3 linked regions of the Arabidopsis thaliana genome follow. The protein of the gene in region 2 purifies or fractionates together with the protein of the main gene of each other region. This does not show direct contact. Each region holds a gene or a part of one and is shown on either strand. Other genes may lie near its edges.

The links.
Region 1: the proteins of ALPHA-SNAP2 (region 2) and PLAT1 fractionate together in Arabidopsis thaliana (co-fractionation; one large-scale study listed by BioGRID). This does not show direct contact.
Region 3: the proteins of ALPHA-SNAP2 (region 2) and PLAT2 fractionate together in Arabidopsis thaliana (co-fractionation; one large-scale study listed by BioGRID). This does not show direct contact.

Annotation. Positions count from the first base shown.
Region 1 is NC_003075.7:18,430,782-18,434,411, reverse strand, and holds PLAT1 (Lipase/lipooxygenase, PLAT/LH2 family protein), read right to left. Parts: upstream 1,754-3,630; 5' UTR 1,463-1,753; coding exon 1,394-1,462; intron 1,308-1,393; coding exon 831-1,307; 3' UTR 659-830; downstream 1-658. Other genes in the region: AT4G39720 (VQ motif-containing protein), read left to right, coding at 3,548-3,630. UniProt on the Arabidopsis thaliana protein: Positive regulator of abiotic stress tolerance involved in the regulation of plant growth. May be a downstream target of the abscisic acid (ABA) signaling pathway.
Region 2 is NC_003074.8:20,846,641-20,850,399, forward strand, and holds the start of ALPHA-SNAP2 (alpha-soluble NSF attachment protein 2), read right to left. Parts: upstream 2,056-3,759; 5' UTR 1,717-2,055; coding exon 1,572-1,716; intron 1,120-1,571; coding exon 1,070-1,119; intron 984-1,069; coding exon 911-983; intron 816-910; coding exon 736-815; intron 505-735; coding exon 353-504; intron 123-352; coding exon 1-122. Other genes in the region: AT3G56200 (Transmembrane amino acid transporter family protein), read left to right, coding at 3,447-3,759.
Region 3 is NC_003071.7:9,426,215-9,429,850, forward strand, and holds PLAT2 (Lipase/lipooxygenase, PLAT/LH2 family protein), read right to left. Parts: upstream 1,957-3,636; 5' UTR 1,529-1,956; coding exon 1,454-1,528; intron 1,273-1,453; coding exon 796-1,272; 3' UTR 582-795; downstream 1-581. Other genes in the region: AT2G22180 (hydroxyproline-rich glycoprotein family protein), read left to right, coding at 2,755-3,630. UniProt on the Arabidopsis thaliana protein: Involved in response to abiotic stress.

The sequences.
Region 1 (3,630 bases), on a different chromosome or scaffold from region 2:
AAATTTAAAAACTTAACACTTAAAAAAATAGTTTATCTATTATTTATTAAATTTATCAATTGTTATGGGTTAGAACTGTTTATTAAATTTCAGATGTGGGACTCAGTTTCATTTAAAACGTATTGGGCTTTTAAAATGGCGGCGAGAAGATATGATTATCGGCCATGTCGTAAGCCCAATATGTTATTCCAAATGGAATTTAACTTCTTAAATAAAATTTCAAAACAGTAATAGAAAATCATACCATAGGTATACAATTATCATATGTTGTTACAAAAACCAATTGACGTCCAAGAATATACTACCATATATTATTAATAGAATTCGTAACAAAAAAAAAAAAAAAATCACATTCTTTAAGAAGTGAGTGTTCCCATATTTCTCTACCAAGAGACGATTTGATTTTGACCCTACAAAAAGTATAGTAGATACAATGTGGACAATAAATCATATAAATATCAAAGAGTTAGTTCTCAATGAATACAGACGTGGCGTCATTTTTGGCCCAAGGGATTATTACTTGGTCCACTCAAATTTCTATTCCGCTTATTAATACCGACACCTATATGCATTCAATCAATTTTCATGTCCTAGTCTTCTCATTGATTGGTTTCACATTTACATAACCTGTGATTAATCTACTAAAGCAAATGATTCAACTAACCTGTGATTAATCTACTAAATCATTCACTAATCATGAGTTAAAATTCGCAAAATAACTAAAAAGGTTTTATTTTATTGAATCATATTTCATTAACGCCACATTACACTCACAAGAACAACGAGAATACAAACAATACAGACAAGTCTCACGAATCACAACACATCACTTAAACGACCCAAGAAAGCTTTTTCCGAATCTCAGACCCGACCCGACTAACACTATCCCTAAGCTTGACCGGACAATTGTTCCGTACGGCGGTGAGCTCATAAGGAGAAGTATCAGTAGCGAGCCATTGCTCAATCTCAAAATCCTGCGTCGAGCACTGTGCGTGAACACCAGCCGTCGTGATCTCAACGTAATTAACGTACCAACCATGGTGATCGCCGGAGCCATCGGAGGTTAGGTTTAAGGCACAGATCGGACTAGGTAAACACGGTGCTCTTCCACTGAAAATGTCGAGATTACCCCTCTCGAAGTAATTGTAATCAGGTCCCATTAATCCAGCCCAAGCTTGAAGGTTTTTGATTCCGATGTAGTCACCGTCCTTATCGTAGATTCTTGCGCTGATGATCGAATCGGTTCCGGCTTTCCAGATCGATCCGGTTCTGAGGTAGAATGTGTATACACAGTCTGGATCATCTTCCTAGATAAACAAACAGAAACTGAAAAAGTCAAATTATCGAAAAATCTAAATCTGATCGAGAGTGGTTAGAGATTGAGGAAGTTTACGGCGAAAGCTACGGCGGAGACGGTGGCGAGAAGGAGGAGGAAAGGGAGGAGAACATCGCGACGAGCCATTTTGTTTTTTTCCGGTGAACGATTTGTATTTTTTCTCTGATTTTTTTTCTGCAGAGGTGTATTAATAGATGCGAATATTATTTGAGGGAAGGGTTATTATTGGGAATTAACAATTGGGGTAATAATCACGTGTTATTCGGAGTAGCGTGTAATGTTGACGTGGCTGACTCTTATCTGTTGTGATGTGAGAATTGAGATGGATAATTTGAGAGGCTTGGCGATTACTCGGCGAGTCGGTATATGATGGGTTGGTAGATTTACGAAATTATCCTTTTAAGTCTCTCTCTCTCTGGCAGCTTACGGACCAAGAAAAATAGTCCACTGGATTGTATGAAATTTTCCTTATTAATGACTACGAAATTTTTGATGGTTTTGTCTATATTAAGAATAATTCAAATTTATATTGAGAATAAGTAATTCTTCCCATTTTTATTTGCTTATATATTTGCTGTCAGATTTTTATTATTTTATGGCCAGGTATAATTTATATTTGTAAAAACAAATTGTTACTTCTTCTCAGCATTTTCATTTTTAGACATCTTCTTCTCAAAAGTGTGTGGGCTTATAAATAACAAATACTAATTATATGGAGCCTTGGTATAGGTAAATATTGGGCATAAAGCGTAAGCCCATTGTTGCACAAAAAAGAAGAAGCGTAAGCCCATTTATATATTTATCTTGTTATAACAAAATGCACACGTAGCAAAAAAACTACATGCTGGAAATTTGATCAAACCCATAGCTTACTAAATTATAGAGAGTGATGATTCTTTAGTTTTTGATATCCTTGTGATCTTCAATACTAAAACTATGTAGACTTACATTATTTTGGTTAATTATATGATGATCATTGATCACCCGTAAAAAATTTTACTAACACGGCAATTTTTTTTTTATCAAACACTAACAAAACATTTAATAGTGATAATAGTTAATCGAATGTAGTGGTTGGTTTTACTAAATGTTTCTTTTTCTTATTTGCAATGCAATGATAATCAATTTCATACGAATTTACAAGTCAACTGAAATTTTGATATTTAGAAAAAAAACGAAAAAAACACAATTATAAATGAGTGTGGGTAACCAAACAAAACTAAGCCGTATGGGTAAAGTGATAATAGGGTTATGGCATTTTGGTTAATGGGCCCATAAATTTTGAATTTTCCTTGATAATTAATAGTATATTATATGATTGATTCTTATTTTCCGACCAAACCTAGTATCTCTATCAAAATATACACTCAAACCATTAATTTCCACTTGCAAATTAATCGGGTGAAATAAGTAGAAATGAGTATGTACATATCTTTGTTGCATCTTTTAAATTGGTGATTTCGAAATTATTCAATTGAAAAGAAAGATTAATCAGCTAAAAAACTTATCTTGGTGGAACTAGCTATATGATGACATCTAATAATTATGATATATATTATTGAATTTGGTCCGAATTAACTGACCTAATTATGTCATCATGTAAGAGATTAGTAGATTATTCAAATTATTCTATATCTTTAGAGAATAACGAGAGGAAGTTAAATGATTGTTTGTGCACACGGAAAATTAAAACTTGTTCTAACATTTTTATCGCATAATTGATTTTGATATGAATATACGCACAAATCACGAAGAAAAGTAAGTACCATTTATCAGGAAAAGTAAAAGTAATACCATCATAAGATTTGTAAACGTAACATCCTGCAGTGGTAGAGAAACAAAACAAAGCATTAGCCGAACCAAATATCTACAATCAAAGTGAATTTTGACTATCACCAAAAGGAATAAATCTAATATAAACTAAACCTTAGATACATGTATATAATATTGGGATATAGAGTAGACAATAGTGGATGGTGGTAGTGGAACCACTTAATGCGATTTCACCTTCCCTGTTTTTCTCCCTTTCACACAAAAACAAAACAAAATTATTAAAAAATCATGTCACACCAAATGTCTTATTTACCATGATACCCTATCTCATAAACTCCTTAAACAAACAATAGCTCCCTAAACTCAAGTATCCATTCTCACCTCTAAATCAATTTCTTACGTTTTCTCTCGTCAAAGTCTTTTTTTCTTTGTCACGAGATGGAGTCCGGTAATAGTAGTAGCATGCAATCTTCAAGCGGCGGTGGCGGAGGAGGAGAAGAAGAATACGATTCACGCGCCGC
Region 2 (3,759 bases):
CGGCTTTGCATAAGTGGCACATGCCAGCAGTGAGAAGATGGCCCTTAACTCCATACTTGAGCAAGTTATTGTTGAGTGAATGGCGTGCTATGTCTTCATAAATCTTGATTGCCTTCTCATACCTACCAAAGATACAACAACAAGCCTATTATCAATCAATCGGTCCCAAAGTAGAGAAAAGGCTATAATTGCTGTGCTCATGCATACTGCATAGAGAACATCACAATTCCATACAATGACAAGTTTGTGGATTGACAATTCGATTTTAACAGGGTTCCATCTGAGTACTATAAGCACTTCAATGCTAAGGGATGAGAAAGCAAAAAGAAAGGTAATGTGCCGAAAATCTTACTGCTCCAGCTGGGCGGCATATTGCGCAACCTTTAGATTGCACTGGTTTGCAGAAGTGGTCACTTCTTCATTCTGAAAGAATTCAGCTGCCTTTTCAAAGTAAGCAATAGCCTGCTCGAACTTCTGATCAGATTCATAATACTCAGCAATTTCCTGTCAAAAGTAAAAAACCATTAATGTACAAATTAGTCCAAATACAGCAAGTCAGCACCATGCTTACTTTAGTTTAGAAAAGGAAAAAGACAATCTGAATCCGACTGAACATGCATAAAGAAACAGGAACCATGGAGGAAATACAGAAGAAGTGCCCCAATAAAACTATCTTCTCAGTATCCGTACTAAAAGAATAATATCTAATTCATGCTCAAAAGAGACAAGTGGTACCTTGTAATATCTTGCAGCCATGTTGAGCCTTCCTATCTCACAAAATATATTCACCGCTCGCTCTAGGCAAGACGCAGCCTCTGCATATAATATTAGGACGCATGAAAACACATAAGAATTCATAATCACTCTTGCATTACAGAGATGACAATTACAAAAGTAGCTTTATACATACCATTAGTGTCAACTTTCTTGTAGCATTTAGCAGCCTCAGCATAGGCGTTAGCAGCATCATGTTTGCTATCTGACTGCAGATGCAATCATGCAAATCAATGTTATCAAACAATCCACACATTAGTCCAGTATCATATATATGTGTTGCCAAAGAATTAACCTTTAAGTGACAGTCGGCAAGTTTTAGATAAGCTTTTCCAGCTTGATCCCCTGAACAATCACAAATGCAACACATAAGTAAGAAGATAGCGTTGGAGAATTAAACAAATATCAGAAAAGAACATGAAACCTATTAAACTCAGCCAAATAGAACCCAAATTAGGTACTATAATTGTGCCACTTATCAATGACTTGCTAGAAGGCCAGAAACCAATATCAAGGAATCAGAATGATGAATCTCCGATTTAAAATGTTTTCGTATGAAATTATCAACCATAAATTTCTTACAGATCAAAATAGACCTAATATAAACCCAGATACTAATTCTACTTCTCACATGACCATAGACAAATCACCGCAACTGATAAACCTAAGATCAAACGTTTCAAATTTCACCTTTTTTTTCTTCCTCATCATCACAAAGAACAACAATAAAAAAAAACACGACACCAATCCGATGAAACAATAATCAAAAGCAAAGAAATTTTATTTATGGAAATTACATGATTTGGCGAGCTTATAGGAATTAGCTGCTTTTTCGAGCAGATCAGCAGCATCCTCGTACTTAGATCCGAATATTCCCCATCCATTGAGCTTTTTCTCAGCTTTCTTCTCGAATTCCTCAGCTCTCACCAGATGATCCCCCATTCCTTTTTTTTCCCCGAAACTCTGACTTGAAATTTGATCGTGTACTTCTTTACCTCCACAGACTCCGATTGCTTCTCTTTTCTTCGTCGAGAGAAATTGCTTTCGATTTGGATTATTCGCTGCGATGAAAGAGAGAGAGACGAGAATCGATCGAGAGCGAAAAATCAGAGACACGCTTCGATAGGGGAAAAGATTTTTCAACCGACTAAAGTGGGCCAAATTTGTCTATTTAAAATATGGGCTTTGTTTTGAAAAGCCCAAGTTAGCCCAATCAAAAGTTTTTCCGTACTTTGTTATTGGGTCGCTTTAACCAAGCTTAGAAAATATGGGATCAGGTTTATCAGTTGGGATTGAAGAAAAGCTTACATGAATTATCAAGTAAAACGATTTCCTGTTATATCTGCTCGTCCTTCTACATTCTTCATTAGCCATTATTATAGTTCTCAAATCACGACAAATATTGCTGACAGTTTCCACTAAACAAACCTATGTTCCAAAATGCACAAACTGGTAAAAACCTAGTATGTTTTAATATCAAACACATGAGTAACAACAATATCGGTTTTAATATCAAACACATGAATAACAACAATGGCTAAATAACAACCGTTACAAATCTATGAAATGTTCAATTTTTTAGCAAATCATTTCATGGGTAATCGGTAATTTTTTTGTCTTTTGTGAGTTGCAGAGGTAATCTTCTGTTGTTGGGCTTCTCGACATGTTGAATGGTATTGGGCTTAGTGTCTTGGCCCATAGCATTCTGTTTGGGAGACTCTGAGCTGAGCAGAGAGTTTGACCCAAGCTCTGTTGTTGTTGACTGAAGCTTCTCCTTTACACACAGAGATGATCTAAAATAAACTGTAACTTTGCAACGAGGGATTTCTGCGGCAATATTAATGTTGCTATCAGTCACATTCTATAATGTTAACTGAGTAACTTCAATATGATTCATATGAAATGATTAAATAAAAATAACTTTAGAAGACAGTGTTTAATTATTCTTATATTGTTTCGTTTATCACGTTTTCAATTATTCATTCGACATTCCGCATTCGCTGCCCTCTCGTTTTCTTGATGAAAAGTCTCGAACCGTCTGCTCTAAAGTTAGTTTATTACACGTGAGCCATCTTTGAGGCCGCCAATGATATGATTATATATTGGATTTTATTATATCCACGAAAATTTTAAATTATTTAGGAGTTTTTTTCTTTTTTGGACAACTTATATGAGATGAGAAGCGATGATACACATTTGGCCACTTTTTCGTCTAGATACATTCTTCGTGAAGAAATCCAAGTGCACACATTCATTAGTGTTGGACGGACCCATTTTATTTTGGATTTTTTTGTATAATTCTTTGGGGTTTTTTTGTTAATAATTCACTTCTGTCTATAATATGATTATGATTGTTCATCATATTTTAGCTGTAATTTCCTCTCTTGAACAAAATTATTATTTTCGTGATGTTTTTAAGTACGTGACGAAAGATCATTTGGTGATCTCACTGACATGATTTGCCCAGCCTGTCAGGTTTACCTATGGTCAAATATCATTTTCTCGATTTTGCCCCAAACGGTCAAGGCATATATCCCCAATCTTCAAAGGGTATTTATGTACTTTTCGCTATTAACCGTGTGGCTATATGAAGCCGATTCCTCATAACAACTACAAAAAAGGAAAGCTTCTTCCCGCCGGCAAATTCTTACGTTTCTCCGGCGGTTAGAAAAATGACACCACAGATCAAAACTCATCTCTTGCCGAAGCAAGAACCTTCTTCGTCTGAGAACCATGGATCATCAACCTCCGGCATCGTTTTCAACGTGTCAACGAGTATAATCGGAGCCGGAATAATGTCGATGCCGGCGGCGTTTAAAGTTCTTGGAATAGTTCCAGCGTTTTTGATTATCACGATCATAGCTTGGCTTTCCACAATTTCCGTTGGATTTCTGATGAAATCAACTCTCGCCGGAGAATCAACTACTTACGCCGGAGTTATGAAAGAGTCGTTTGGTAAAACAGGATCCATCGCTGTACAGATTG
Region 3 (3,636 bases), on a different chromosome or scaffold from region 2:
TTAACGAAGTCTTTGTAAATAAATATTATACAATCAGTAATTATCTTTTAAAGGCATATTGTCTATTTATTTTATGTCTAGCTTGTATATTGCTTTGTGGTTCTATAGATTATGTGTGCAGGGATGATCTTTTTCAATTTTCATTGAGGAACTTATTGCTCACACCTTCTTTTATAGATTTAAAAGACGATTAGGAGCATAGTGAGATTTATATGGTGCCTTAGGAGGAATTTTAAAGTCATTCATTTGATAATGGTTTTCAGTTATTAGTATGACCCAAAGAAATGTTCCGTTTCAACCAAATGTCACTTAATTAGGAGGTTTAGGCCAATACCAATTAATGTCGTTGATGTTTCTTACAAAATTGTAAGTTTCTTGTTGACTTTTTGAACATGCACAAAAATGATTAAAATTGTGAAGATCCACTCTGTATTAAATGTTTAAAATTACATCGAAAAATGTGAAAAGGGCCCATCTTTTATACTATTTGGCAAAGTTTTGATTAATCATAAGGTTGTAGCTTTGAACGTTTATTTGTGAAAATAAAACGAAACAAAGAAACTATATCAACCAGTAATTATCTTTTTTTCTTTTTAATATGATCAGTAATTATCTTTTAATTTCATCACACGAAAAACTTAATAATGTTTGATAAAAATCTCACAAACAACAAAGAACGGAACTTTTATTCGATCGAATCATTTTCATTATTGCCATCACACGTTCACAAGACAACAAAGAACAACTCTCCAAGTTACACACACACATACACATTTGACATTTCATTCACTACTCTCACACGATCCAAGAGAGAGTCTTCCGGATCTCAGACCCGACCCGACCGACACTTTCCCTAAGCGAAACTGGACAGTTATTCCGAACAGCACTGAGCTCATACGGCGATGTATCGGACGCAAGCCATTGCTCAACATCAAAGCTTTGGTACGAGCACTTTGCATGAACTCCGGCTGTCGTGACTTCCACGTAGTTAACATACCAACCGTGGTGGTCACCGGAGCCGTCAGAGGTCAGATTTAATGAACAGACTGGGCTCGGAAGACATGGTGCTTTCCCACTGAAAATGTCGAGATTACCCCTCTCGTAGTAGTTGTAACCTGGTCCCATTAAACCACCCCATGCTTCTAGGTTTCGGATCCCGATGTAGTCTCCGTATTTGTCGTAGACTCTAGCGCTTATGATCGAATCTGTACCGGCTTTGAAGGTTGATCCGGTTCTAAGGAAGAATGTGTAGACACAATCTGCTTCATCGTCCTGTGAAATCAAGAAAGTCATTTTTTTAAATGGGAAGAAACAGAAGTTTGTAGTCTAATAGTTTAAACTAATGTCATTGATGTTGTGTCATTATATACATATTCAAATCTGGTTAATGTGTGTGTCTAGTTCTAGACAAAATCATATATGAGAGGAAGCAAGTCAGATTTGGAAAACTTACGGCTAATGCGACAGCGGAGACGGTGGCGATGACGAGGAGGAGTGAGAGGAAGAGGACGTCACGGCGAGGCATCATCGGTGATATGGATGTATAAGAAAGAGAGATCTAGTCTATGGAAATATTAATAGAAATGTTGAAAATGCTAAAGTATATGAGAGTTTAGATTTCAATGATTTAATTATCGTCTGTTTTGGGAGTTGCGTATGAAGATGACGTGGTCGTTTTTGGTCCGTTGGAATGAGTAAGAAATAAGAATAAAAATACTTAAGGATCCTATAAGCACGTCGTTAACTCGGCGGACAGGTCGGCATGGGTTGTCAGATTTCGAAAAAAATTGCATATTTTTTTTTGTCACAAACGCAAATCTTCGTGAGATACAATACAAATGCACTTCATTTTTCGCCAATTAGAATGTAATGTAACAGTTTCCAGTGTAATGCTCGCAACATAACATGTTTCACGTGGATTGGGGCCGGGGAAGAATTAGAGAAACATTAATTTTTGTTTTTGCTTTTTGAAAGAAAACTTTCGACCATATGAAGGTAAGATTTCCTTTAATTTCCTTGATATTTTCATGTACATATGTTTGATTTATAAATGAAAATTAAGTGATTGTGTGTTTTTCAAAGAAAGAAAAATGAAATAAATTTTGGATAGTATTGTCAGCGAAGCAGCAACAAGGCCCACAAACATAATTTTGAATGGCCGGTTGCTGCGGATTAATGTGTGTAAATACATACATTCCGTTCATGTCAATCCCAACGTATATTCGTATATATGCATTTTTCGCTTTCTAAAGAAACAGAAGTTGCAAGAGAATTGAAATAAAAAACACTTTAATGAAAATTTGGTCCAGAAATACCACCCAAAAATGGTTTTAGTTCGAAACGTACAAAATAAAATAAGACTCGTTCATGATAAACATTACCAATATGTGCTAACCTTTTTAAGATTTTACTCATGTATGTCTTATATGCATATATAATTTATGTTAGAAAATCGATATCTTGTAAACAAAAAGTAACAACTTCGTTGATCATCATCAAATGCCATAATACTATATTATATGAGTTCTGTAATATAGTTTTCTAAATAACAGAAAAAGGGAAATTTAAGGTGAGCTGGCTAACTCTAAATAGCAAAATCTTCTCAAAACCAACCAAAAGTTTGAGTCATGCAACAACAACCACTTACTTTTCCCATGCAAACCCTAATTTTCGCATCCTCTCTTAATTCTCTCTCTTTCGTCTTCTCTGTAGACCAATCTCCACCACACATCTCGTAACTCCCACCTTTCTCCGATGGAGGGGCCACGGCGTCCTCCTTCCGCCACCGCCCCTGACTCTGACGATGACAAACCCGATGATCCTCCGTCCGTTTGGCACCGTCCAACCTCTAGCCTCCCCGCATTGCCATCTTTAGATCCTCCATCGCACGGTTCACACCATTGGCGTAATCATTCTCTTAATCTGTCTCCACTCCCAACGACATCTTCTCCGCCTCTTCCTCCTCCGGATTCAATCCCTGAGTTAGAGACGTACGTTGTCCAAGTCCCGAGAGATCAAGTCTATTGGACCCCTCCTCCGGAACATGCAAAATACGTCGAGAAACGCAGCAAGAACCCGGAGAAAAACAAAAAGAAAGGGTGTTCTAAACGTCTTTTGTGGTTCTTCATTATCTTGGTCATTTTCGGATTCTTACTCGGTGCAATCATTCTCATCCTCCATTTCGCTTTCAACCCCACTCTTCCTGTTTTCGCGGTCGAGAGATTGACCGTAAATCCTAGTAATTTTGAGGTCACATTAAGAGCCGAGAATCCAACGTCTAACATGGGAGTACGCTACATGATGGAAAAGAACGGGGTCGTTTCCTTAACGTACAAGAATAAGAGCCTGGGGAGCGGGAAATTTCCGGGGTTGTCCCAGGCCGCATCTGGATCCGACAAGGTCAATGTGAAGCTTAATGGGTCGACCAAGAACGCAGTTGTACAACCTCGTGGATCGAAGCAACCGGTTGTTCTGATGCTGAATATGGAGCTGAAGGCTGAGTATGAAGCAGGGCCGGTCAAACGGAACAAGGAAGTGGTGGTGACTTGTGATGTTAAGGTTAAGGGACTATTAGATGCGAAGAAGGTTGAGATTGTGTCGGAGAATTGTGAGAGTGAGTTCAAGAACTGACACTCG